Linked DNA regions of Lepisosteus oculatus. The main gene of each other region encodes a partner of the protein of the gene in region 3 in a complex. Links are inferred from orthologs where the notes say so. Each region holds a gene or a part of one and is shown on either strand. Other genes may lie near its edges. The genes, in order: thoc3, sarnp, thoc5 and thoc7.

The links.
Region 1: thoc5 (region 3) and thoc3 share a complex: the UniProt entries of both Homo sapiens proteins name them as parts of the transcription/export (TREX) complex. The link is inferred for Lepisosteus oculatus from reciprocal best matches to the Homo sapiens genes THOC5 and THOC3.
Region 2: thoc5 (region 3) and sarnp share a complex: the UniProt entries of both Homo sapiens proteins name them as parts of the transcription/export (TREX) complex. The link is inferred for Lepisosteus oculatus from reciprocal best matches to the Homo sapiens genes THOC5 and SARNP.
Region 4: the proteins of thoc5 (region 3) and thoc7 are in contact, whole or in part, in a cryo-EM structure (PDB 7APK), measured with the Homo sapiens proteins. The link is inferred for Lepisosteus oculatus from reciprocal best matches to the Homo sapiens genes THOC5 and THOC7. Residues at the interface, in NP_001002877.1 of Homo sapiens: Pro48, Asp51, Tyr52, Tyr55, Cys59, Leu62, Gln63, Met66, Ala67, Gln70, Phe95, Lys99, Leu101, Asn102, Ala105, His106, Arg108, Leu109, Gly112, Arg113, Gln115, Thr116, Ala119, Lys120, Val123, Tyr126, His127, Leu130, Leu133, Glu136; in NP_079351.2 of Homo sapiens: Ala21, Asp23, Ile27, Leu30, Val31, Phe34, Tyr50, Met53, Leu54, Leu57, Cys60, Glu61, Met64, Gly65, Thr67, Leu68, Val70, Tyr71, Asn74, Met78, Tyr81, Ile84, Tyr85, Ile88, Glu89, Ser91, Ile92, Ala95, His96, Lys98.

The regions. Positions count from the first base shown.
Region 1 is NC_090706.1:35,586,394-35,593,599, forward strand, and holds the start of thoc3 (THO complex subunit 3), read left to right. Parts: upstream 1-4,184; 5' UTR 4,185-4,307; coding exon 4,308-4,487; intron 4,488-5,098; coding exon 5,099-5,255; intron 5,256-5,853; coding exon 5,854-6,058; intron 6,059-6,422; coding exon 6,423-6,584; intron 6,585-7,075; coding exon 7,076-7,176; intron 7,177-7,206. Other genes in the region: shtn3 (shootin-1), read left to right, coding at 257-425, 850-1,003. UniProt on the Homo sapiens protein: Component of the THO subcomplex of the TREX complex which is thought to couple mRNA transcription, processing and nuclear export, and which specifically associates with spliced mRNA and not with unspliced pre-mRNA.
Region 2 is NC_090696.1:14,511,492-14,518,609, reverse strand, and holds the start of sarnp (SAP domain-containing ribonucleoprotein), read right to left. Parts: upstream 3,016-7,118; 5' UTR 2,939-3,015; coding exon 2,906-2,938; intron 1,159-2,905; coding exon 1,059-1,158; intron 1-1,058. UniProt on the Homo sapiens protein: Binds both single-stranded and double-stranded DNA with higher affinity for the single-stranded form. Specifically binds to scaffold/matrix attachment region DNA. Also binds single-stranded RNA. Enhances RNA unwinding activity of DDX39A.
Region 3 is NC_090717.1:14,292,228-14,299,122, forward strand, and holds the start of thoc5 (THO complex subunit 5 homolog), read right to left. Parts: upstream 3,021-6,895; 5' UTR 2,966-3,020; exon of another isoform or gene 2,882-2,965; intron 2,651-2,881; exon of another isoform or gene 2,627-2,650; intron 1,641-2,626; 5' UTR 1,617-1,640; coding exon 1,524-1,616; intron 864-1,523; coding exon 720-863; intron 362-719; coding exon 248-361; intron 1-247. Other genes in the region: acyl-CoA dehydrogenase family member 11-like, read left to right, coding at 4,275-4,526, 5,533-5,765, 6,559-6,658. UniProt on the Homo sapiens protein: Component of the THO subcomplex of the TREX complex which is thought to couple mRNA transcription, processing and nuclear export, and which specifically associates with spliced mRNA and not with unspliced pre-mRNA.
Region 4 is NC_090699.1:48,898,258-48,905,808, reverse strand, and holds the start of thoc7 (THO complex subunit 7 homolog), read left to right. Parts: upstream 1-4,542; 5' UTR 4,543-4,746; coding exon 4,747-4,765; intron 4,766-4,943; coding exon 4,944-5,061; intron 5,062-6,344; coding exon 6,345-6,472; intron 6,473-7,551. UniProt on the Homo sapiens protein: Component of the THO subcomplex of the TREX complex which is thought to couple mRNA transcription, processing and nuclear export, and which specifically associates with spliced mRNA and not with unspliced pre-mRNA.

The DNA.
Region 1 (7,206 bases), on a different chromosome or scaffold from region 3:
AAAGTTTCCCTTTAAACTCTGAACAAGTCTTTTTACAGAAATGGGCAGAAATGCACTTGATTTTTTAATTTGGTTTTACTGCATACTTTCGAGGTTTTCTTATTCATCAATATTTTGTTCTGTCACATCCCAGGAGACCCCATAATGATTAAAGGCAGCTGTCACAGCTTCCCAGCAATGAGCTACTAGAAATGATTACAGGATAGAAGATGCCTTCTATCACGATTCTAAATGCTCATTTTGTTTTCTCTGACAGATGACAAGGAGAGTGAAATGAGCAAGGTCTCCTCTTCTGAAAGCTTGAATGCCAGGCACAGTTCAGATTCTGGCAAGGAGCCTATTGCATCCTGCAATGAGGGCAGTGTGCACAGCTCTCGGGCTGACAGGGGCACAGGAGAAGTGGTGGCTAATGGCTGCTATGGCAGGTAATTGCCTTGACCTCTCCGTCGTATACGACACATTGTTAAACTGTAAGCATCTTGACTTTTAATTCTCCAGCTGCTCCTTTTGTGTTCTGTTTAGCAACTGAACACTGAACTGAGCAGTCACATTCTCAAATTTTTGCTAAATTGGCACTGTCCGAATGCCAAGTAGCTCTGTAGTAGAAGAAAGACACTCTGTCTGCACACATGCACTGAAAAAGAAAGTTTCCATTTCTATCAAATTTTGCGAAAATGTTCCTATTCCTGAAAAGCAGACATCCTCACATTGGAAAACACCTTCAGTTAAACTTAAAAGTATCCAAACTAACTACCCCTTACAGGTTTATGCACCACGACTTGAATGCAATTATGGGTTTGTTTGTTTTTGGAAGTTATAAAGAATGCTTTTGTTACTTGTGATCTACAGTGGTGAGGACAATGAGAAGAAATCAGCAACTAAGTGCGCACAACCTAACGGATTTAGCCATGCTCTTCCAAACCGTGATAAGCATGGCATCCAGACTGCAGGCTCTCCGGATGGCCCCCTCCCTGTGAATGGTAGCACTGATGCTGAGTGTTAACCTCAGCAACAGGGCACAGGCAAATGGCTGGGGTAGGGGGAGTTGGGGTGACAGCTGCACAATTTGCACACCATTTAAAGAACAAAGGTTTTTTTGTATGTTTAGATAACATGATTTCAAAGCTTTAGGTTCACTAGACGTTTTTAGATGCACATGCTGTCTGCTAGCGGGGGTTGGTGTCTGCTTAAGGAATGCACTGTTGTTTGGTATGTAATGGATGATATTAAGTTGTTTTGTCTCTCAATCTTTTATTAGACTAAGGCACCGAAAAGCAGGAGAGCTCAAAATTAGGTCTTCAAATGAGTACCCAAGCCACACTAAATTATCTTATACTGTAGTTCCATGAATTTGTAAAAGATAGGGTTGAATCCCTATTGTTCTTACTGTAGGTTTCCTGTTTTGAAAGCTTTGACTTATAATCATATTTTTGTGTTAACTTATTAATGCTTTATTGGAAATCAGGATTTGCTTCATATAAGAAAAAAAAACACAAACACGTTTTACTTTCAAACTTAATTTATTCTTTAACTCAGTAGTTAAGGTGTCCACATTCCACTTAAATGCACTGCCTGACATTTAAACAAAATAAAAAAAAAGTCACACAATTATATGGTGAACTATGCTAAATTATATGCAATGCTAACTTTTGTGCACAGATGTCAACAAAACAGTGATATACATAAAAGGTTTGCAGTCCTGTCGATATTTTTGGGACAGCTTTGTCAGATAAGTTTAAGTGTCTTCTGCCTACCTCCTTGCAAGAGAATTCACTTGCTTGTCAATCCAAAAATTGTAAACCAGAATGAAAACACTAAAGGCTAAGGAAACACAAATGCTAAAAATGTCTTCCACATTTCACCAAAGAGGTAGTTGTACTGCTTTGGTTACATAATATTCCAGAGGTTCAGCACACTTTAAGTGCTGTGAGTTCCCTCTGTTCTAGATACAAGGTGCTACTGTATATATTCCAGTTCCATTATCGTTTCATTGCTGGAGTATGGCTACATGTAGCAGGCCCACCAATACAATTTGGAAGCAAGAGTATCCCACCAAGACCTATGCTATGCACAGAGGTAAAGTCTAATACCTCTATGTGTTCAACAAGAAAAAGCCTTTAAGTCTGTATTGCACTATTAGTTTTTAGGTAATTGTTCTCATAATTCAAATCAGACACCTCTAAAAAGATTTCATAAGTGAAAGTCTGAAATACTTTTTTTTCACTACAACAAATTAAGCCTGAAGACACCACATTGACAAATGAAACTTCACCTGTGCTCTCTCAGTGCTTATGCAGGTTATTAGTGAATCGCAGCTGTTAAAATGCTCCCATTGAACAAAACACCAAATATACCCTTTAGAGTTTATGCATACTCACCTGTTTAACTGAATATATAGAGGTTGCTGTACTCTCTTATCATTCATGAATTTGACTACTGAGGAGTTGCTGTGTAGATGTTTTTTTTTTCTATAGTCCCTTTTTTGGAGGGTACTGAATTTTAAGTTCAAGTAAATAATTTCAAATCAAGAACTAATTTCTAGTAAAACAAGATAAAATCTCCTAAAGGTTGCTCCCTAGAGACCATAAATATTGTCAGCCTCCCTTTCAGGTAGTCCAAGTTCTAAAGTACTGTTAACATTTTGAAGTAAGCCTATGTCTATTCATTATGTGGCCAGATGTTAATGGAACAGTAGACTTACTATTACATTTAACCACAGTATAATGTATTGCACCTGATTGTTCACCTTTTTGTTGCCATCTAATGTTCTGTAACACTGTATGGTAGTGGTTTGTGTGAATATGGGTTTGCTGGCTCCAGATTACAGTGTACACTTGAGATGTAAAGACTTGCAATGTGGTATCATCCTATTCTTAGGTTTCTAAAACTCTTCACCGCTTTCCATTATTCATATAAGTTTTTTTAAAAATTTGCAACAAATAAAGTTTTGGCAATTTGAGTGCTCGTCTTCTGTTTTCATTACTTCTGCTTTTCAGTCATATTTTCAAATGACTTTGTCTCAGGGGAAAAAATAGTGTTCATCTTTTATCAGAATGTTGGAATAATAAAATACAGCTACCATTTTTTATAACAAAGACTACATCATTGGACTTTGCTTTCATTCCTGAGCCTAGAGAAAAATAAATTTAATAAATTGTAGCTGTATTGCACCATTTTTGAAAGCGATAAAAAATCAAGTTATACAGGAAACATAAAGGAGAAGCATCGTGGGTTTGACCGTGTTAGGATTCCAGATACTGTACTGAATGTATAGGACTACAGTATCTGGACTATGTGTTTATACAAAAATGTGTCAGAATTATTCTTACTTATAAAGAAAAACAAATATATATGTGAGCAATTCACTTTAGTGAAATAACATTAAATATTTTTTTCCAAAATATTGGTCGACAGCACATATTTTTTCCATAACTCACGCTGTAGATAAAGATAATTAAGTTTAAGACTGTTGTGTCGCATGACCTTTTTTTAACCTGTTTGGGTTTCATGAAAATACCAGAAATTCGTTTGGTAACATTCGATACCATGATAAGCACATATTCAGATTTTTCTTTTTGCTATATTTATGATATTTTGCTTATCCTCCAAATTAAACAATCAAAACGTTTTAACTGATGCTTAGCAAGTTTATTTGGGTAAAAAACAGGGTTTTGCATGATTTCTGCACAGTCTTAGCAAAGATAAATCAGACGAATACAAAGATGGAATTTTTAAGGCAATAGTTTTATTTATACTGTCTTGATAAAAATTAAATTAAAAACATTTTTAGATGAAAAGGCTTGGCTGAGACATTGCTTGTTCTTATACTGCTCGTCGGCTGTGACATCACAAGGAACCTATGCAGAAAGTAACAACCGCCCTTTTCTAAATCGTATCACGCATCAGAGAAGCAAATGGAGGTAGCATTTAATGTAAAAAAAAACCCTATGTAACAATTGTAAACTTTAATAACTGTTAAATAAAAAAGCAAAAGCGAGTTGCGAAACCATTCAAACCCTGACTACCGCAGCTAGCTTTCGAGACTGTGCTAGGTGTTGTAGACGACACATAACAGACCTGTTCTAGAAGAGCTGTGTAACGTAACTGAAAAAGTAAATTTTGTGCAAACCTACAATCTGCCGCAAAGATGCAAAACGCAACAACTAATATTAAAGGTAAATTCGTTTTCCGGTGCCGTATGCGACTCCATATCCGCCCTCAAAGCTGTACACCGGAACTTCACCAATCCCACAATGCACCACGTCGCTGGGAAAGGAAGATCAAATCTCTTCCGGCGCACTTAAAACATGGCGTCTCAGTACTACCAAGATATGCAGGAGAGCTTCAGAAATAACAACAAGAGTCGAGAGTTCCCGGCGCACAGCGCTAAGGTTCACTCGGTCGCATGGAGCTGCGATGGCAGGAGGTTAGCATCTGGGTCATTCGATAAAACCGCCAGTGTGTTTGTTCTGGAAAAAGACCGCCTGGTAAGTGAGGGTTTGTTTTCGAACATTGCCCCCATCCTTTTATTTATTTGGAAGAATGCCATCTGTTTACTTGCTTTTAGCATCTTAAAAGACTTGATTTACAACTTCAGTAATGGAATTTTTTATTATCTTAAGTTATTAAATTAACGAATATATTTACAAATGAATGAACCTACGTGTCATGTCACCGTTGAAAGGCAGATGGCGTAGGTGCATTACGTCTGAATTCTGTCTGGTCGACTCTGAATTGATATTTCGTACAATTACGGTAGATGAAATATGAATTATATTGTATTAATTGGCTCTAAGGTACTACACCTAGTGAAAATAGTGCCAATGCTATTATCATTATTATTATTACATTATTACGTGAAAAGAAAATCATTCCACATCAAAAGTCTGAGCTCTGCATCTAAAAGTTCCATTATCGATAGCTCCGCTCATCTGTATTCGGTGTAGGTTTGCAATGTCCTAAAGTAAAATGTTTATCACGAATAAAGTGCCATTTTATCTAGATATGTGTGTTAACATTCTTAAGTGGATGTATCCGTGACAATTCTGAAAAATGTGAAGATGGATCTCTTTGATAGCTGACTTTAATCTGTTTTCAGGTGAAGGAGAATAACTATCGAGGTCATGGAGACAGTGTGGACCAGCTATGTTGGCACCCTACCAACCCAGATCTCTTTGTCACTGCTTCTGGGGACAAGACAATACGCATCTGGGATGTTCGGACTACAAAGTGCATCGCGACTGTCAATACTAAAGGTTCAGAACAATATGTGTTTTGTTCAGAGACTCATTGATAAAAACACGCTGAAATGTGTATATACAATTCCTTGCATTTACATTGCTCTTTTAATCTCAAACTATCTAGAAATGGACCCACTTCATCTACTGCTCTAGTGAAACACTAATCTGGGTATGCACTGTTGTCCTGCTGCAGTGTAGATCATTGAGAAACTACCTCACCTATTGAGGAGGAAATTCTAGGAGGTTGGACTGGGCAAACTGGGCAGTGACATTACTGGAACAGTCTCATCTTACACTATCATACACCTGTTACATTTACTGATTTTTGTTTGCTGTTGACATAATCAGAGTAAACATTATCTCTATTGGAGGCATTAACTAACACGGGTGATTGAGAAATTACTGTAATTTTCTGAACCAACCTTTAGCCTTAGTTTGAAAGAATACATGAAACCATAATGTAAAGTTCAAATATAAAAAAGCATCTTTTTGTGTATTTTTTGTTAATTGAATATTCGAGCAAAAGTGGATTTGTCCCATGATAAAAATGTTTGTTGGTCACTGTTGTTAATGGCAGTCTGGCTGATTGCTCATGTGCTCTTTCTGTGGCTAGGGGAGAACATCAACATCTGTTGGAGCCCTGATGGACAGACAATTGCAGTTGGCAACAAGGATGATGTTGTGACCTTTATTGATGCGAAAACCCATCGTTCCCGGGCAGAGGAACAATTTAAGTTTGAAGTGAATGAGATCTCTTGGAACAACGATAATGATATGTTCTTCTTGACGAATGGTAACGGCTGCATCAACATTCTTAGGTAAGGGAAAGCAATCTTTCTGTTCGTCAAAGTGATGAATTGTCTTTAATACAGATGTTTGAAAGAGCATAGGCCACTACAGTGTTTGTGTTTTAGCACATATATTCACAAATCATTTCCCACAGATACTGTTATTTTTTGCTATAATTGGTCATGTATATTGTAAATGTATAGCATTTATACAGTTAAGCATATACACTATAATTGGCTGCATATCAGATTTAGTTTTTAGGACAAGTGTAAGTAATAGTATTTTTTTATTAACTCCCTGTGAATGAAGGTCACAGAATGATTGGGATGTGCAATTAGTGAATCTTTTTAACACCTTTACTAGTGATGATTATAGTGAGTTCTTCTGTTTCAGTTACCCAGAGCTAAAGCCAATCCAGTCGATCAATGCTCATCCTTCAAATTGTATCTGCATAAAGTTTGACCCTACTGGCAAGTACTTTGCGACAGGGAGTGCGGATGCACTTGTTAGCCTGTGGGATGTGGAAGAGCTGGTTTGTGTCCGCTGCTTTTCCAGGTGAGTCCATACCTGCATGAACCCTGACTAATTCCAATTTTCTGGTTATAATGTAGTTCCAGTTGAACTCTTAGTATTTTCCTATATGGGGTGATATTATATGTATGAACATCTATTCTGATGTTTTGAGAAGAAAATATTCTGTTTGTACTATGCATATTATATATTGACTATTCTTATAGCCATAAAAAGGACCCATAATACAACAATACATCTGTTCTAGATTCTCCATTGGTATAGTGCCTTCATGTAGGTGTTTAGAAGTAATTATTACAGAAATAAGATTTCTTTAACAGCAGGTTAGGCCTCTGTGTGATATAATTTTTGTGTGACATTTAATTGCAGTTCCTGCTGATCACGCTGAAATGATTGTGATCTGAATTGAGTCTGTGATGCATAAGATGAATGTTAGAATTATTCCTTATGTTATAGAGGACCTGCTGTGTCTTCAATATATTCCATACTGATTGATTAACCTTTTTTTTTCTGAGGCTTGACTGGCCTGTTAGGACACTGAGTTTTAGTCATGATGGGAAAATGCTAGCCTCAGCATCAGAGGACCACTTCATTGACATTGCTGAGGTGGAGACAGGTAAGCATCTCTGACCTGAAAACCTAAGTA
Region 2 (7,118 bases), on a different chromosome or scaffold from region 3:
CATGTCCCAATATGCACACTTGCACCCTTCATACGCGCATTAAAGTCTGCAGAGGCTTAGGGGGGTCTCATTTTTAAATTTGTGCGTGACAAGTGTGCTCATGAGCGCCTCCAATGCACCCATCTCTGAAGTCCATCTGAGTGGACCTCACTCAAGGGAATCACCCCTAATTCCGTGCGGAAGAGTGACGTTTCATGTTCTAGCCTATCAAAGCAGAGAGAAGTAGCGATGGAGAACAAAATATTCACATTAATAAAATTGCACTTACAGTTTTAAAACTCAGAATATTTTATGCAAAAAAAATTCATTGGGCTATTTGAGATTCTTACTGTATGCATTTTAAGATACGAAATCGAGACCTAAAGCTTTTATTTCACCACCCCATCACGACTAATGAATATTTGTTCACCTGCTGTGTGTTTTGTAAATGGAATATTTAATAGCACACGTATCTAACAGTACAAAACCTTGAGGTATTGTCAAGTTGACCTTCGCTTACTTTGAACGAATGTGAATTAACAAATTATGTTCCTTGTACTGTCATTTCAGTAGTGAACATTTTTGGTGACATATGAGATGAAATACATTTAGTAGTACAAAGCCCTGAATAAACAGAGAGTGGTACTGCCAGGTTTTCCTTAGTTCGCCCATTTTGAGTCGAGCCTGCTTAACATAGAATGAAAAACGGCGTGTCACTACTTTTGTGCAGAGACAGACGAGATGAAATCCAATCTCATCAAGCTGCGAGAGCAGAACGGACAATTCTTTTAAAATATTATCTGCCGAACTTCACTTGGCCCCTGGAAAAGCAGTGTCAACAGAAAGCGTTCTGACCCGGAGCTGTGTAACCAGCGAGTGCTGTCACGCAAGGGTGTCCCTTCACTCTTTCTAACGGTGCTCCTCAAATACTCACGCACCTGAAGTCCACACTTGCTCTACGTCACAGGAGTGCGGACTTGGGGGGACGGGCTTAGGATTTAGGGCGACAACTGGGACACAGCCCGTGTTTGCACTGGCCTGGAATGAACCCAGGAGACAGAGGGAGACTGTGGTCTTACCGTGCTCCTCCAGGTAAGCCTGCAGCCGGCTGATCAGATCACTTTTGTTACCTTTGACCTCCAGACCCCGAGCTGCACACTCCTGCTTCAGCTCAGCTAGCTGGGGGGGGGGGGAGAGAGAGAGAGAGGAACACAGGCGATTTCATCACTCTGGACAAGGGAGGGCTCCTGTGGTATATACTTCACTGCCCCCCCCCCTCCAAGACAGGCATTTCTACCATTTCACACCAGACTTAAAAGTAACTGCAAAGGAGCATGTGAAAGCTTATTTCACACTGCAAGGAAAAGAACTCACATTGTCCGTCTCTTCAGCATTGAATGAGCTTTGACCCGTTCCTTTGCAGCCTACGTATACTGACACAGCTTAAGTGTAATGGCATAAATGAAAACTACCTTTGTTTTAGATACAAAAGCAATAATAAAGTAATTACTAAAAAGTAAAAATCGTTTTACAGAAAATTTGAAATTTTCTGAATAGAGGAAGCACTACAGTGCAGTTCCTATACCCATAGAAAACAGTGAGAGAACCCAGAACCCAAGGGAGAGGGATATAGAAGGGGACACAGTCACAAGATCAATTGAGCATCTTCATCAGATCCAAAATACTGCTCTCATACTCTTGGCGAAACCAGTAAATGTTCTGCACCCGTGACTTGTAATTATTCCAAATTATTCAACCAGAAATATTTTCATCCATTGTTCTCTTTTCGTACCTTGGGTGGTTTAAGAAGAAGTTGCAGATGACTCACATTTATAGTGAGCATCTCATGTTTCCCACAAGCAGGATGTTCTGGATTTAATAGCTTTGAATCTGCAGTTGCCTGGGGCGAATCTCGGGCACGGGCCATGACCGCATCAACTGCCGTTCAGAAATGCAGAACTTGGAGATCAACTCTGCAATGGCTCCGGAAGAACAGGCCTCCTCGTGTTTAACATTCGCAGGTCGCTCAACCAAACCTTTATGGTAACTAATTGCTGTGCGAGTAGTTTTGAACAGAACGGTAAGCAGTGCAATTGAAAGACATACAAGGGATAATTGAGGGTTTCACAAATGACGGATATACAGAACAACAAACTGTATGATTTACAGTGGCTGCTGTTTCAGACTCGCTTTGAATGAAGAACGTGAACCCTTCAAACCGACGAACAAGATCAACAAATTAAGTTCGTTATTTGAAACGCATATCCTGAATCCTGAAAGCGTATCAAAGCAACAGCATGCAGGTAAAAACAGAACCACCTACACGTGAAACGTACTTCTTAACCTGGAAAGCAAAACAAAGCTCATCTGTTACAATCGGTCGCGTACACACAAGGTTGGTTTTTCTTATGTGATGTAGGTCGCAGCCAGTGTATACGATACACAGGTAAAACAGGAGTGTCAAATAAAAAAGGTCTGATGTTTTTCTACATCAGCAGGCCAGGTAACAACCCTGAGCGTCTCTCCAGTCTTCTGCAAGCTCTGCACCGAAGGCCTTTATCCTAGCAGCGTGCGATATTACAGTATTTCGCCAAGCGCAGTGCAAATTACAACTGAATTTGGTATATGGTTTATAGAGTATTTGATTTATAGAGTCCAAATACTAACACATGCTTAACTGGAAGCAAACAGCACAGGAGTAATCGACTGGTTAAACATACAGTACACATTCAGCCTAAATTGAACATAAACCTGTTTGGTAAGCATTCGACTGGGCGAGATTTGAATTGCAGCTTCCTTATAAAAACCTCTAGCCTACTTCATCCTCCAACCTACTAGAATGATAAGATACTTTTTACAGAAAGCCGTATTACTCAAGCGTGAGTGCTACACACTAATTTCGAGGCTTATTTATATATTTTTTTACCTTAAGTTTATGAAGCTCCACTACCTCGGCCATCTTGAATCAATGCTTCTCCGGCTGCTTCACAAACAGCCAATCACGTTCGACTTTACTGCAGCGTTAGTGACGCTGATGGGGATTGGCTGAGAATCTCCAAGTGTCTTTACAGAATGGGGTCAGGTTTAATGCTCTGACGTTCAGCCTTAAATTAAACATTGAATTTCTCCAAACGTGTCAGTAGATTAATCACATACATTTAGTTTAGGTGCATGATATTACATCTTGCGAGTCAAAAAATATTTTCATTTATTGTATATCGTCATATAAAATAAACACGATTGCACACAGTACTTGGCGCTTAAGTACTTTACACAATAAAGTATATTCCCCCTAATGCATACCACTCAGCCTCTGTACTGTGGACAAAGTTTTTTTGTTTCATTCACTTGATGTTAACAATGTTGTGACTATATGTATATACCCCTATTTATTGTATTTTCCATTTTTGTATTTAAAAAAAAAACTTTAAAAACAACTCAGCCTCTCGAAGTCATACCGGCCTGATTAGCTCAGCTTCATTTGCATATATTTCCCAGAGTGCATTGTGTCCTGAATAACACGCTATAATTTTTCTATGTAGTAACAAAAAACACATGAGTTTAAGGTAAAGGGAATGGGGGTTACAGCAGTAATGTCTTCGTGTATCAGCCGTGGAAAACTGGACTTTTCATAACGTCCCATATTGTCTAACCATGACCCTGTAATATCAGCTGCTGAAGCTGGTCGCCGAGGCACAGAGAGCAATTTCAGTACACTCTGGTTTCTCTTCAGATCGTATAAATCTTTCGCCTTTTACTAAAGATTTCCGTGGAGAGGAACATTATGAGTCTAAACTAATTTTTTGATCGCCCTGCCTCACGGCGGGGCTTCCAATACTGGTAAAAAATCAGAACTTATTTAACAGATAGATACTTTATTGAATCTGTGAGGAAAGCTGCAGTACAACAGCAGTTAAATAAATACAACGCCGTCACAGTATAACGAAATGTTTAATAATAGTACAATACATACAACACAATACAAGAGTTACTCACAGTCCAGATACACAAGAACAAACTAGAACAGTACACAGAAAATCGTATCAGACATATGAATATAAATATAGATGTATTGCACAAAAAATGGTTGTAAACGGGAAAAAGAAAGAGAAAGAGAACAGATGTAGCAGTAGTACAGTCTAATGGCAGAAGGCAAGAATGACCTCCTGTAGCGCTCCCTGTCGCACCGTGGATGAATCAGTCTATTGCTGAACGGGCTCTTCATTCCTGCAAGCCTGTCATAGAGGGGATGGGAGAAGTTGTCCATGATGGTCTCTAGTTTGGACATCATTCTCCTCTCAGCCACTACCTCCAAGGGGTCCAGGTCAGACCCAATGACAGAGCTTGCTCTCCTGATGAGCTTGTTCAGCTTTTTGGAATCCACTGCTCTAATCCCAGAGCCCCAGCACACCACTGCGTAGAAAATGGCACTCGCTACCACCGACTGATAAAACATGTGCAGCATCTTACTACACACATTGAAGGACCTGAGCCTCCTCAAGAAGTAAAGTCAGCTCTGTCCCTTCTTATAGATGGCCTCGATGTTCTTAGACCATTCCAGTCTATCGTCGATGTGCACTCCCAGGTCCTTGTACGAGTCCACCATCTCCACGCCACTCCCATGGATGTAGACAAGAGTAGGTTTGACCTTTTTCCTCCTGAAATCAACCACCAGTTCCTTTGTCTTTGTTACATTCAGTTCCAAGTAGTTCACCCCACACCACTCCACAAAGCTGCTGACCAGTCCTCTGTACTCCTCCTCCTGCTCACCCTTGATACATCCCACAATTGCAGAGTCATCTGAGAACTTCTGCAGGTGGCATGACTTTGAGTTGCACTTAAAGTCCAAAGTATAGAGGGTGAAGAGGAATGGAGAAAGAACTGTCCCTTGAGGTGCCCCTGTGTTACTCACTACCTGTTCAGACACACAGTTCTGAAGTCTCACAGACTGTGGTCTGCCTGTCAGGTAGTCAGTGATCCACGAGGTCGAGGAGGCTTGCATCTCCTCCAGCTTCCTCCTTAGAAGTAAGGGCTGGATGGTATTGAAGGCACTGGAGAAGTCGAAAAACATGATTCTTACAGTGTTGCCAGCCCTGTCCAGGTGTGAGTAGGCCCTTTGCAGCATGTAGATGATCGCTTCCTCCACACCAACATTGGGCTGGTAGGCAAACTGTAGGGTGTCCAGTGATGAGCTGACCAGGGGTCTCCAGTGGGATAAAACCAGCCTCTCCAGTGTCTTCATGATGTGAGAAGTCAGTGCAACTGGTCTGTAGTCGTTGAGGACAGAGGGGCGCCCTTTCTTTGGTACCGGGACCAGGCATGATGTCTTCCAGAGCGTGAGTTAGTATAAAATGCTATTTCTTATTTTACGCAAGTTTAAAGCCACAGTATTATCATTAGTCCAATAATCATGTGTATTGGCGATATAAAGAACAAAAACTAGCCTGTTCCTATATGTTGATTGTCAAGATTAGTGGGGAGTTTGGTTTGAATACCTACCTCTATTCTTTTCGAGAAACAATTAGGCGTTTTAAAGAAGTCAGAAGCGCTGTTTCATGCGTCAGCTGAAGGAGAGGGCTTTTTTACAGCACAGCGTCCCGTCACTAAACTGGGGCACTGGAATCCACACAGACCGCAGGGTGAGCGCCCCCTACTGGCCCCTATTTTCTTTTACAATTTCAAGTCTGCAAATAATGCATTCTTTCACGATTCTTTTACAAACGTCCGACGCTGACTGCATGATTCATTTAAAACACAGAGGCTTGATCCCCGCCACTCCTTACTCTGTGGTTTTCCTCACTCTCTTCTAAACAACTAGCATTATGGCCAAAACTTGACAACTAGACTTCTAACTCGCACCAAGTCTTGGCAGCATATCACTCCTACACATCAGCCTCTGCTTTCCCATAAAGTTGCATATTTAACATAAGGTCTTGCTAGTTAGAAGAGGAGAAAAGAGACGAAAAGAAACACAACGTTTCAGCTGTGGAGCCTTCTCTGGGTGTCACTTTTCAGCACGGAATAAACCTTTACTGCTTCCTGGTGTCTCTCCTGTTGGGGCAGAGGCGGCTTGCCGGCATGCCCTTTGTGCCAGGGGTGAGGGCCACTGGAGCACGCCCTCGACTGTTGCCCGAAAGCCCTTGGAGAAGGCTGCTATCGGTGGCAGCGCGACCGGGGGCTGAAGCCCTTGGCGGACGCTATTAGCGGGGATATCAACGACAGCAAACATCACCAGGCCACCGAATCCGTCAGAGCCGGTCAGCAGCCGCGTCCGCTGTGCAAAGTATCGGCGGGTCTCCTTGGCAACGGCAAGACAGGTGGGCCCCTGACCGCACTCGGGCTGGACGTTGTATTGCTGTGTGAAGCATCTCGGCAGCCGGCCGTGCCAGAGCGGACAGGTCCCCGCTGGAGGCTGGCGGAAGGAGGGAGTCAGACATGAAGACCTGGTAGGTCTGCGCTGTGGGAGGGGGTGAGCCCGTCGGGGGGGGGCTGCAGAGGACTTGCAGGCCAGTCCCTCTGTGTCTTTTGGACGTAACAGGGGTGAGCAAGAGGAAAGCCATCCAAACCGCCAGAGAGGCGGTTGGAAATAGTTGAAAAAAGGCCTTCGAAACAGATGAAACCCACCACCCATACATTACTGTAGATCCCGTCCCCACCACTTCATTTCAGTGCTGTTTTCACTTCTCTCTGCCCCGTTGTCCTCAATATAATACATGAATCCTTGGGCACTGGTGTTGTACCAGTGGTTCTCAAAACTGCTGCTATCACCCCTGTGCCACAAAATCTAAATCTAAACAATTTTCGCCCCATCTCCAATTTTCCCTTTCTTGCACAAATTCTAGACTGTGCTGTCACATTTTCAATTACATAACCACCTCATTGTTAATAACCTTTTCAGACCCCTCCTATCTGGCTTCCGACAACTTCACACACAGAAGCTGCCCTGGTCAAAGTCACTAACGATCTTCTAATGGCTTCTGATTCTGGCTCTCTTTCTATCCTTATTCTTCTTGACCTCACTGCTGCTTTCAACACTGTTGACCATGACATCTTACTTTCTCGTCTTGACCTGTGTTTGGAGTTTCTGACACTGCTCTTAAATGCTTCAAGTCTTACCTCACTGATCGCTGTCACTTTGT
Region 3 (6,895 bases):
CACTGTAGACTGGAGATGACCAAGTCAATCAAGCAATGTCTTAGGGAAAATAAATGTTCTTGGCAACCTAGGAAAAGAATTGTTTGCACTTCCGTTAGCTTATTAATCAATCAAGTTTAACACTTTCTGATTTTTTTTACTTGACCTCCTATTAAGTTCAAGTGATCATATCTTCCAATCAATTTGAGTGACTGCGGTCAGGAAAAGCCCTGTCACCCCCAAGAACAGGAACGTAAGGCAGCCGCACCTCGTGGGTCTGATCCCTGGCTTTCTTCAGCCTCATGTGAGCCAGCCGGTTCAGCTTCTTCAGGGTCATGAAGTGGATGCACCCCATCATGCGCTTCTCTTCAATCTCTGCCGACTGCAAGACACAGGAGGAAAAGAAACAAATAGAAAATCAGCTCTTGTGGCTGTCAACAGCAGCTCCTGCCACTTCCTGCCTGGACGCATTGCGTAAGAGGGAACAGAGTAGGGAGGCCCAAAGTGTGATGCTTGGAAGCTGCAATTCTGAAGACTTTGCTTTCCACCACAATACCCCAGCATTGCAGAATTCAGCCCCGGCCAACTCCTGCTGCCACGCAGGTGGATCAATTAAGGCAGCAGCTCCCAGCCCTCTCCTGGGTGCCCACTGTCTCTTCTGGGGTTTGCAACACTCCTGCACTTCATCACAGACGAATCGCTCAAAGTGTCAGAGTGTGAGATGTCGCACTATGGCTCACATTGTCCTTGCTGCCACTGGTCTTCAGCTCGTTGATCTCAGCCATGAGTTTGGCCAGGTCCTGACAGGTCTGCTTGTACAGAGTGTAGTCCTGGTTGGTATCCCTGCTCTCCAGCTCCACCTCCTCATTGTACACTCTCACGTCCTGCAGCACAGCAAAATAACCAGCGATTAGGGCTCACGTGGAGAGTCGTAGGTTCAGGCCCCTGTGGCAGAAACCCCCCCCGGAAAAAGTAAGCAAGGCGCAACCTGATTACTCCAGTTCACTCAGCTGTTGTAAATGGGACTGAGTGGTTCAAGGCCGCTGACCCCATAAGAGACCATGGTAGGTCATGCGATTTATGGCTCACACCCACAATCACAGCCCAGCCTGCCGGCTGAGCCCTTCAGGAGGCACAGAGGGTGATTTGTACCACCGATAGTGCTCTTATGATCACAACTGTAAGTAATGCTTCAAAATAAAGACCCCAGCTGAAGCAGGAAGGACACACTAATGGGCAGGCACTCCTGGGATCAAAATGGCAGACTACATGCTACAGTGGGACACCACACTGTTGACCTAGTACAGGAAAGTCATATTGTAGCAAGATGCTCATTATAGCAGGGTTGCCTTTCTTGCACTGTAGCTGTAAAATCTATGATCAGACAATCTCAATCAATCCGCTGGTGTGTTCTCAGTCTCAGTGCCAAGTCCTTCTCTGACTGCTGATACAGCCCAGCCTGCTGGCCCAGAAGGCAGACTGCCATCTACTGCATCATGAGTGCCACTGCCATTTGATTCGACAGTTCCAGTAGCGACCCTCACCTGGTCCCCCTCTCCCCTATTGCGTTTTGATTCTGGGGTACCCTCATTGCGGATCACTTTGGGCTTCCTCTTCTTCAGGGTGTCGGCCGACATTTGCAGGCGATTCTAGGAGCGCTCCTGGTGAGAGGGTAGAAGAGGGGGTCAGCAAGGTATATGTAATGGACTGGCCGTAAGTCCCAGCTGAAGTAAGATGACCACAAAACTGAAAGCTCAGGCTTTATCTTACGAGGAACCTACACACACCTGCTACAGGACACTGCTGCGGTCACCTGCAGGGGAGGTCCTGACTACTTGATCATTAAAGAATCAATGGGACTGTTCAGAAGAGTAATGAAGGCTTCGCTCTTAATTTAACTGAACTCATTTCTCTCCCTCTAGTAGCAATGGGGCTACAAGCACATACTGTAGCGTAACTGGCTACTACACTTCAAAGGTCACAAAGTGGATCCCCATCTATAGCAAAATGGTTTCAATTCCTTTGAGTTAAATAAAACTATCCAATAAGTAATTTTTTGGCCTGAGATTTTTTAATTACTGACTTTAACAATTTAGTTAATGGCATGTATTAAGTCTTAAGCAGCCTGTTATTGTAAGACCTAAGGAATGTCTACAGAAATCCGATCCTTATTGGCTACAGTTACTTATCCTTCTTTAAGACACGTTAACAGCATGCTTAGCTAATTCAATTCACCAATTCCAGGCAAGTTCTTACAGGAAGAGCAGATGGAATTGTGCTGTTAAAACGCAAAGACGGCAGAAAGAGGTACACAGGAGGTCTCAAGCTGCACATATAAAAATCAACAGTGAGGACGATATAAGAGCAAGTGCCCTGTATCTTTCACTAGTTTAACACATTCCCAGTTGGTTTCAGAGTCCTGAACGTGCGAACTAGTGACCATTGTGAACATAGTTATAAAGAAAAAGTACAAATGGATTTAACAAGGACTTCAAAATATATATATTAGAAACGAGTTAAGCTTCGGTAGCTCACAGTACTGACATGTACAAACAACGGGACATCAAAGTAAAAATAAAAGGAGTATCGTTATAACTGATTTTGTTAATACTGCTAAAATCGCATCCACGACAGTTCACATAATCACCCGAGATGATCACCGTCTTGGCTTTCTGTTTTCAGGAACAACGCACATAACAACTCGCAAACATAAATTAATCTGCAAGTCGTTTTATAGATTTTATCTCCTGGGCAGGGAGTGTAAACAAGGTACAAAGGCTCTTCCTTAGCAGCAGCGATCAATTAAAATGCTTCGACTCACAAGTTACAATACGCGTACAGAAGAAAAAGCCGTTTGCTTATCGCAGACTTCAAACAGCCATACATCAATGCACCCACCAACCTTATTCACAAATTCGGCAACGAAAGGCTCTGTATTTTTTAAACAACTAAAAATAACATTTCATTCACTAAACACAACACTTACCCTAAACTCCCCCCCAAAAAAACATGGAGGACTTTAACTTTGACCTCTGACCCGGATGGGGATCCCGGGGCAGCGCAGTTACCTTTCCGGCCGAGAGGGGGCGGAAGAGAGAGATCAACAACATCAAGGCGTAGGTAGAGTTTACTTGAAAGGTAATGTGTGGTAAGTTTATTAACAACAGAATTTATACACGTGCTGTCAGTCTCATTCCCTTTTAGGAACACATTAGTAATAAAGTGAAGATAACTTTGCAATCGGAGTAAACCGAACTTTTAATCTACTTCTTGTATTCCTCTATAGTTCAAAGTACAGTTAGGGTTTAAATATGTTTTGCTCATTATATTTTAAATAATGCAGGGAACTTGAAATGGAGGCGAATAAACTGTCGTGAATTATCTTTTAGAAAAAGCACACGTAAATTTCATTTAATTATAGACCAACGTGCCGAGCTTGATAATGTAGAAAGAATGTGTTTTTTTTCTTACATACGCTGGCGAAATAATTAAAAATGATTGTAAATCTCAAGACAGCCAATAATAACATTATTATCCTTCGTTTTTGGATAGCCACTGATCCCTATTAAGCCCCAGGTCCGTGAAGTTGCCTCCCCACACACACGCACAAACGATGAAACCCACCGCATTCCTTAAAGAACGCAAGGAGAATCTTGTTGTTTTTTTCTGATTTATAAAATGAAAGAGCTACGAAGTATTGAGATGTACTAGTTAAAGGCTTTTTTAAAGAATATGCAGTTGCTCGCTAATGTTCGCTTTTTAAGGCTACACCTGCAACTCTTGAGGGTATGATATTGAAGACAAATTAAATTTTTCTGTTCACACAAACGCACAGAAGATACTGGTGTTAATGCAAAATCTACCGCTCCCCAACCGGGCAAACAGAAACACAATTGCAGAATTGTTACTCTCGCACCAGTAACAGCGCTTGAACTCGGCAGACGGGGTCACTGGAGGTCAAAGTCACCGTGCATGGTCACTTGATCACCCGAAAAACAAGGCGCTATATTTTGGGAACGAAAGCAGCACAAATGCAGCACTAATGAATGTTTCATCGATGTTTCATCGTTTGTGCTGTTTGTTGGGAGGGCAACTTAACGGAGCTGAAAAAGCTGAGTCTATCCTGCTGTAGTGACATGCAATAAGCACTCGTAAATAAACATCAGCACCCTTTACTGTGAATTAACGAAGACGGATGACAACAGGTTCTCAGAAGACAGCTCAGTATGCTTCCTCACATTCACTTCACAAGCAGGGGCAAGCGACTGGCAGGTCGTTTGTGCTGCAGGTGCCTGATGGCCGCGCGTGTCCTGAGGCTGGCCCTGGCTGGGCGGCCAGCGGCAGGGGCCTGGAGCCGCAGGGCGAGCAGAGGGAGCTCGCACCTCACCGCTCCGCGGGGCCGCACAGAGGCTCCGCAGGAGGAGGAGCGGCCTCACTTCTCCAGGTCCTCCATCGGGAGCTTCTTCCAGGAGAGGCCCCAGCTCAGGAACCCCTTTCTGCAGGACGCTCTGCTCCAGGGCTACCTGAGAAGACACCTCCCTGCTCAGGTGGGCCTGGTTTTACTTCTCCTTGACCACTTTATAGGCATAGACAGGAGAAAACCCTTATCCACAGACTTTCAAGACACCAGTCGACTGGTACTTCTGCTGCCTGTCTGACCTCATACACAGCCTGGCTCGAAACGTCTTTTCTCAAAACCTTGATGAGCTGTTAACATTCTGCTCCTCAAAGAAGTCGGTGGCAACGTCATTTTATTGCTGCTTAATAGATACCTGTACGTATTCTGGTATGTGCACTCACCTTATTTGACTTTTAAGACTTCATTGTGAGGTGACAAATTAGATATAGTGCAAAACGAAATCTGATCAGATGTCGTTAAAAATGTAACGAAGAAATAATTTTTGGAAGTAGACCCATATAGGAATGCAGTGTTATTGTTTTCCATGCCACTCGTGGTCTGTGAAACTACTCCAATCTCAATATGGAAGCTGGTTTGGATTAGCTTATGATATGCTTATGTTAAAACTGTCATGCTTGCTCCCACCGGAGCACGACAGGACGCGCTAGGATCAACACAGCAACCGACGGAGCCTCAACAAGACCTGTCAATCAGGCGATTGCCGTGACTACGAGCTCTGGTTAAAAATCTGTTCCACCCGTCTGTAGTTAATGACCACACTGCCCTCACTGGGATCTGTCAATATTAGACCAGTCTCTCTGCGCTCAGTCTTAGAGTTTCAGTTATTAGTTTTGGCATTCTCAGCTCTGCTTATACTTTCAGGTTTTTGGCATCTCTTGACTTTAATTTTGCTTTCGGATTCCCCTTATGCTTTGCCTCTTTATCTCTCAGCTACAACCTTACGTTCTAGACTGTTTATTTCTGCCTGCATGCTCATTATGCCACCCTGCTCTGCCTGCTTGCTGTCCACGCCAGCCTGCCTGCTCTGCCTGCTTTCGGGTTCTCCTGATGCCCCTGGGACACTACTTTCACTCAGGTAGGAATAGCGGCATTACAAGAACAGAATGGGCATGTGTAGTGTATGTGCGTTCCAGGCTGTGAGCGCGGTCGGGGCAGATCTGGAGCGGTTTGGGGAACGGATCTGCAGTGAAGTGGACGCTCTGGGCCGGCAGTGTGAGGAGACCCCCCCCCGCCTGCAACACTGTGATGCCTGGGGTCGGCGAGTTGATCGCATCCTCACCTGCCCCGCCTGGGGCCGCATGAAGGAGATCTCGGCCCAGGAGGGGCTGGTGGCTGCTGGCTACGAGAGGACTTTCCGTGACTGGAGGTAGGGTGACACACACATCTGGTGGTTTCTTGTGCCTGAGTTTTGGAATGGGCATTTGTTAGTTCTCCTCATATGGAGACTCCTAGCACAGTAGAAGGAAAGAAAATATGCAATCACAAATTCTAGTGTCAGGATCTCCTTCTCTGTTCCTGCTGTAAGTTCACAGCATAAACAGCAGGATCCGTTGCAACCCTGAACTGGATGACACAGTTAGCAAATAATAACCCTGTGATTTACAGTATGATCTTGTATTAATCATATGAAACAAAATTACACAGGTAATTAAATGCTTCTATCTTAATGCTAAGATTGTTAGGAATAAAATACAAGACATTGAAGCAACTCCATTGCTAATATCTCTTGTAATTTTGCATGCAATTAGAATGCAATTGGCATCACTGAAACAGCTAACGGAGACTGATGTTGATGAATATAACACTAGTGGATACATATCATTCTGAAGAGAACAGTGGAAAATTACTCACCACAGATTATACACCACAAAATATTTGTGGACCTCACGGAAACATTGCTTCTCGGAAATCATACAGTGCAGTGTCCAGATGTGTTACTACAAGGAAGTGAATTTAAAACTAAGAACAGGATGCAGTTTTTGACTGAGCAGTTTGTGGGAGTCTGGAACAAGTTATCCAGCATGTTATGAAAGATGATACTGAGCAGTCTTTCACAAAACAGCATTTTCAAGTAGACGAATTGAAGGCCTAAAATGTATATCCTGTATTACAAAAGTAGTGTCAAATTAGGTGGATGATACTGGTGTATATTTCCTTAGCCGTGTTTACCAGATGTCCAAACTATACCTCTGCTCTCCCTCTGCTGGACTCTACACCTGTCCTCTGGCTATGACTGATGGGGCAGCTAAAGTCATTGAGGTCAGTGAACTGCATCCTGTATCGTTTACGCTGAGGTGCCGACATCTTTGCAAACCCACAGGGGCTGCACCCCTTATAAAAAAGGTGACATAGCAAGTTCACATATAGTAATTCTGTATCAAGGTAATAATAATAATTTTTCTGGACACTGCACTCAAAGCACTTTACAGGTAATAGGGATCCCCTCCACCACCAGTGTGCAGCCCCACCTGGATGATGTGACAGCAGCCATAGTGC
Region 4 (7,551 bases), on a different chromosome or scaffold from region 3:
AATGTAGCACAGTTATCTAATAACGTCTTCATGCTCGAAAATTAACAAGTCAGACCAGTACAAAAGCAATGTTACTGTTAGTGAAAATGAATTTGCAGCGGTATTAATGAGGAAATAAATTATACATATATTTAATAAGACAGCTCAATGGTTAGATTACAAGCATTACCATCACTCATTTTTAAAATACCTTTCTTCTTCCTTTTCTGCTGGTAAACTTATCAATAACTTCCATCAAAATATGAGGACACTGTAAAACTGTTCTAAATTGCTAACAATGTACATACATTTAGTTTTCCTCCTTTCACCATTGATTGGAGGCAATTATTCACAAGTTTCATCAAATAAAAAGAACAGCTCCAGAACAGCTAGAGAGTGCTAACAGCTAGAGACTGTGTGCATACAAAGGCAAGTGTCCACATGTGTCCCTCAGGCCTAGCTGGTACATGTTCACTGCTGATGCCTTTGCTTTTCAGAACACAGAAGTTTTGTTTTACAATTTCTATATCTACATAAACATCGCAAATATTCAAAGAAATAAACTGCAGAAATCCAATTTTGTACTCTAATTCTTTGTAAGTCTGACTGCAGTTCAATTATTAGGCAGTCACAGATGATATAAAGTCTTTCAATAGAAAATGCTTTGTAATTAATTTAATCAGTGAGTTACAGACTTCTTTGTTTTTGTGCCTCAGTGCTCAGACATTTTTAAGTGGTAGGCCAAAGCGAGCAAATGTAGCCAATACATCTTTACAGTTTCTTTGTACCTAGGAGCAATAGCTAAAGTAACAGAATGTATGGATAATTAAATTACTAAACAGATCTCATGACATAGAAAATCAAATCTAGGGTGATTTCTGAATAATCCATCCACTTTCTACCCACTTCTTCAGATTCAGGGTCATGGGGAAGCTGAAGCATATTCCAGTAAGCAACGGGCTTAAGGCAGGGTACACCCTGGACAGGACACCAGTCCATCATAAAGCAGACAGACAAACACACAGACACGCAGGCATTCTTACCAGGGCCAAGTTTCCCAGAAGCCAATTAGCCCAGCAGTATTACTTTAGGCTGTGAGAGGAAACTCACAAGGACACCATGAGAACATACAAACTCCATGCAGACAGCACCCCAGGTCTGGAATCAAACCCTGGGCTCCAGCACTGCAAGGAACCAATGCTTACCATTATACCACCATTTTATCAATAAATGAAAACTGAATAATTAGCACATATGCTTTCTTGTATTGGGCCATTCCATGTCAAATAAATCAAATTCACTGAAGTTTGTGCTCACATGTGTTTAGTGTAGTGGAAGAGTGAGGTCAGGTATGTAACAAGGTGAAATTAAAGTTAATTTGGGCCTAAATATTGTGGCCCTAGGCATGTGCCTAGTCTGCTGAACCTTAACCCAGCCTTGTTTCTAAAACTAGCCAAAGACTGAAAAGCCTGATTTTTGAGATTCTCAGTAGCATTATGAAGAGATTTTGGAACTAACAATTATCATTCATTACCATAATGTTCTGATCTGCAGTTTGGTGTAGTTTGTTTGCTTTTTCAAACTGGATTTCCCTAATAAAATGTAGTTGTAAATGGTCAATTTATGATTTATTTGATATAAATGCAATCACAATTATTTCAGGGATCACATTTCAGCAGAAACACCAAAAAGTGTAAAAAATAAACCTGACAATGTCACAGAATCACTCAGAATCTTTATCACATTGTAGCCTGCTTTCGTCAACCTCAAAAGCTAAGCAAGGCTGGGCCCAGGCAGTGCTGGATAGAGCCAGGCTGTGTGAACAATAAGTGATGCTATTACACCAGTAGGCAAATGTTAAACCAATACCCCAGTGCGGTAACATTATGCTGCAGGAGGTGTATTCCGTTGGATAAGACATCACACTGAGGTCTTGAGTACTTAAGTTAAATATCCCAAACTTTGTTAATAGGATTTTTAAACTTGGTGCCCTAGTTAAAATCTGCTTTGTGCATTCACAATGTGGTCTACCTACATTTCCCCTTCAATTAAAAAGGTGAAGTAATTTTTCACCTCTTTACCTAAAATTCTCTGTTGTGAGGCTGCCAGCACAAAAATGCTTCCACATGACACACTGGTGGATGATGCACTTCAGTGCAAGAAGTGGGGCTTCTCCTATATCTGAGATCCTTTGAAATCCTTGGGAATAAAAAAGAAAGTGCAAGACAAATGCAAGCATTTAATTAACAACTGGAGCTGCGTCATTCTGTGTCAAGTCAATCAGACCTTCCCAAGTCATGATTTTAATTTCACTAATATTTGTGTAGTAGAAGACAGAGGTTGAATATTTAGACCAAATCTTTTAGCTCATGTGGACGACATGACGCAGTGGTAGGTTTGTAGAAATACCTTTTATCTGAGAAATCCAGCGTGAACAAGCAAACATAAACTATACCAAACTCACAGTACAGGGAACCTGGTTTCAATTCCTGACCTGGGGTGCTATCTGTGTGGAATTTGTATGTTCACCCCATATTCACATAGGTTACCTCTGAGTGCTCTGGTTTCCTCCCACAGTTAACAAATATACTGGTAAGTTAACTGGCTTCTGAGAAAATTTGCACTATTGGGAGTGTGTTTGTGTATGCTCTGCACTGGACTGGTGTCCTGTCCAGGGTGTATCTTGCCTTTTTCCTGCTGCTTGCCAGGATCGAATCCCCTGCGACCCTGAATTGGAAGAAGAGGTTAGAGAATGGATGAATTTAAGCATATTGATGAACATCTACTGGAACACTTTTCTTGTGAAAGAGCACAGCCATACTTACAATACATACAGTATAGCCTTGGAGAGATTTTGAATATCTAAACATTTTTGCCTTAAAAATTTAGAATACATATATCTATACATAAGCTTCTAAAATCACTTGTCTGGCTAGATACATCTTCTGTAGAACTGAAAAATAATTATAACTTCACCATTTCATGTAGCTATGATGTCCAAATGTAAAAAATATATCCAGTTGTCAGTTCCTAAATTTTAAGTCACTGTTTGGCTGAAAACTGAAAGATGAGCTCACAATCTAACAAACTAAGATGCGACAATTTAACCTTATTTGACCTTGTTACAAACCTGACTTCACACTTCCACTACACTAAAAACATGTGAACACAAACTTCAGTGAATTTGATTTATTCAACATGGAATAGCCCAATGCAGGAAAGCAGCAAGCTAGGTAGCATGGTCTTGAGAGTCAGTTTCCTTACTATAAAACCCATACGTTCTTGCTAATATTTTAAAATAAAACCTTAAGCTAATGTTTCTACTTTCTTTTGCTATTTAGATTAAGTATGTCTGCTTGAACCTTCAACAACAGGCTCATGTATTAGCATTTTTGAATTGATAAAGGGAATACTTGTATTTCTATGCCCACTTTCTATGACAGGCTGTCCCACTGAAGAGATTACATAAACCCCCGCCAAGAAATATCTGCGTTTTACATTAAAACGTTAATCATCAAGAGAAAATAATCTCCTTCTTAAAGTTTTCATAGATTATTGAAAAAACTAAGAGTTTCAGCATTGCCAAACTCATCTAAATTCTCACTAACTACGAGAACAAAGATCTACGCGGAATATAACGGAAGATAAATAATTTGTTGCAGAGCTTGTAGTAACTATTTTACCTACCACATATAATGTAGCATTTTACAAATACTGGGTAAATAAGTGCCAGCTTTTCCACTGTTTCCTTCAGCAGTTTCCAAAACTCACCGAATACTTCTAAGAGTAAAACAATCATTACTACTTTCTACGAAAAGTCGCAAAGCACGAAGAAAACAAACGATGCACATCTATAGCTTCATTCAGGACATTACAGCAAAAATCAGACCTGCAAGAAAAACTATGTTTAATCTTAAAACATAAAACATATTGCACAGTTTCAAGTTTTCAGCGTTTAACTTAATTTAACGAGGAGTATTCCGCATAAAACAACAATTCTAATTTACTGGACGATCTTACTGTGTATTGAAAAGGATTAAGAACTTGTTACTTTCAATTTCTTCCATTATTATGAACAAAGCTCCTACAAATACTCGAATAGCCACATTAAACAATCTTAGCACCGGGCTACTGGTGGTTTGTGTAAATTGCTACCTAAATTGTTTCTCATTGTCATTTAAGAAAAACAAGAACACTAGCAGACTGCAGACAGAGAAATAAACCTTATCCGTGTTTACCTGCTTCCGGGACTTTTTTAAAAAGATACAAAAGCTCCTTCGGGATGTCAGTCTGTTAAATGTAGCTAAATTTGAGCGGTGAGAATGGCGAATAAAGAGCGAACACAGTGCTCACTGACTGTGGAGGTCTTTACCCGGGGCTTCCATGTCTGTTTACCAGGCTGCATTCTGGGAGACATACGTCACTCTTTCCGCACGCTTTGCACGTCGGCGCTTAGCGAGGCTTCAGCACCTCCAAGAGGCCTACGCAACTGATGCCATTGTGGCTCTGAGCAAGCCTCGGCGTTGGCATACGAAAATACAGGAAACTTGAGCCAACATGGCAGACAAACAAGAAGTATTTACGGAAACGACAAACGATTTTAACCGCAAAGCGTTTTGGTCTTTCCAACCCCTTGACAAAGCGACGCAATCGGTCTCACAGGCGGAGACGGGTGCATACTGCTTATTTATCTCTTTTGTGAATTGGGTTGGTATAGCTTTTGCAGTCAATAAAGTTTCATTTGAAAACAAGTAAATTGTCGAAGTGATGGGTGCTGTTACTGATGGTAAGTTACTATGAGTACTGAATGTTTTATAATTCAATGTTCACTATTGAACACACGTGTTTTTTTTTAACTTTTTTGTAGCAATGGCATTACAGGCAATTGACTTAGGAATTCGCTTTTCGCGTCGCCTGCCTCTGTGGCTTTGGATAGTTAATCTGTTTTGTTTTCTCCGTTCCAGACGAGGTTATCCGGAAACGACTTCTGATTGACGGAGATGGAGCTGGTGACGATCGTCGCATCAATGTACTATTGAAAAGCTTTACCAAGTGGTGCAATTCTGGAGCCCCGGAGGAAGGGTAGCTAACTCGTTGACTCTAATACAGATCCATATACCAGTAGTTTATCTTCTTCAGAAACAAACACGTGGGGAACTGCTCAGAAGCCAACCCCGAGAGCTCTGTCATGGGTTTAAAACTGACCGTAGAGCTGTGTTGTTTTAGCTAGTAAAATTCCTAATGTCTTGATCGTACCGAATTCATATATCTTTAGCGTGTATATCTGTTGCTGTGTCCAGCACAAGGTACATCCCCATTCTACCTTCGTAGCGGTATCTTGTCAGATTAATAAGTCTACTATATGTCTTGGTTCTTTATCTGTATACAGGTTGTGGAAATACGTTTTTACATAATGTTTTGATGGTATTTCCTGGTGTTTGCTGTCTTATACTGTATCTTTCTTCCTGGGTTGCACTGTGAGGTTGCATTTCAGCACATATCTATGTGGATTCTCCTCAGCACAACACAGCTGTGAAGTAGTTGTTTATTTGTTCATTTTACTTGTGCTAGGAGTTCCCAGTCCTGGTCCTAGAGGGTCAATTCTATGAGTTTTCAGTCCAGCTGTGCTCTTAACTTCAGTCGTATCATTATTTGACTGGATTGGACCCGTTTTACAGCAGCTCTCCAGGAGCTGGTACTTTAAAGAGACCAGACACTCGTGCAAGACAGGGACTGGAAACCACCTGACATTGCAGCTGCAAGTGACATCAGGACGCTAACAGCTGATGCCATGCCTATGTGGTGAAAATGGGACAGTTGTTTCAACCGTGTAATTTGTGCACATAGTTGCATTTCCTTTTCTTCTTTTTTGAAAAATGCCTCAAATGAAAGCAATACAGTCTACTCAGTGATTAAATTTACATAAAAGAGCTGCACTTGTAGTGCATAAGACAATACAGAACCCCTAGATACTTTCTTCAGATTCATCAAAAACTGAAAACTCCAAATGGAGAGGTTTAATCATGGCATTTTCTTTATATTGATTAAACCCCTTGTTTTAAAGCATTTTCCCCTAAAATAGCACAATGTATTTGCTTACTATATGTGCCTGTTGCATGCGGTTAGGAAGGTTTTGTTCACATTAAAGGTGAAATGTCTGAAATGTGTGGCACGACAGTGCAATTTATTCTGGAGAAACAAGCACCTTGTGAACTGTTGGTAGAATGAGTCAGTGGTTTCACAAAAGGTCACTTCATTGTCTAGATCACATACTGGCACTTCAGTTGAAGCAGGAAGCAGGCTGGCAACATATCCTATTGTTTTCAAGGTGCACACAGGAAACAGTGAAATGTCTTTCTTTTTAGGTACACCCAGTTTCAGAGGATGCTAGGTACACTGGCACAGTGTGAATTCTCCATGGGGAAGACCCTGCTGGTTTATGATATGAACCTCCGGGAGATGGAAAACTATGAAAAAATATACACGGATATAGGTAATCTGAATCTGTCCTATTCTAGTCCTTTACACCTTGTGGCTGTTTGTTTCAGCTAGCATGCTTATGCTTAAATTTTTAGGCCACAGTTGTTTTTTTTCGTTGTGTGCAGCAGTTAGCTTTCTCAGTTCATTTTTGTATTTAAGTAGCTAATCTTTTATCCAATGTCTTATGCTACATGTACATATAAGTAAAGTTGTCTCATAAAAGGCAGAATGAAATACAGAATTAAATCACTTTTTATATATGCAGGCGCAAACGTAATGAAAATTGGCCTCCTTTTCTTTATAAAAGAGACCACGCATAGTTATGCGTCATCTGTATCTGTGGTCTCTCAGTCTTGTTCTTGAAAACGTTAATTCATCAAGTTTTGTAGATAACCATAAACATCTGGATGAAGACTTGAGAAACAATTGAACTGAGAGACTGTGGCAGGCATTTTGTTAAATTAAGCAATTTAGAGATCACCTGGAAGCTGCAACAAATATCTGGATATACACCGGCCCTCAAGGACCAGATATGGTTAATTGCACAAATTACTTGCTTAACCTTTAGAAATGGTGATTTATACCTTCACTTTAATATGGATAGGAACTCTCAAAGACTACACTTGATAGAGATGTGTAAGTTAAAGGGGAACTGCAGTGCTATTTTTATGTTTTGGGTTTAGAAAGAATCAGCATTAAAGAGTACATTTCAAACCATAAGATAAGTAAAACGTAAACAGTAACTTGTAAAACCTCCAATTTACGTCACAAAATATACGAGATTTCCAGGTATGCATAGTGCCATATTCTGCAATTTAGAACAAGCTAGCAAAATGTCTGGTGACATAGTACGGCCCTTTTATGTTGTAAACAAGCTTGCTTGTTTTTTTAATCCAATAGGAATATTGACTCTTGACTTTGAGATCCCATAGGAACAATTTTGCGATGAAATGTCTGCAGCACAATCTGTACTTATTCACTCATACATCGCAGTAGATTAGTCATTACGGTGGCTAGTGAGCAGGAAGGGAGGGAGCTCTTGCTCTCTCCCATGCTGAGACCAGAGATTTTCGACAACACGACGACTCGCAG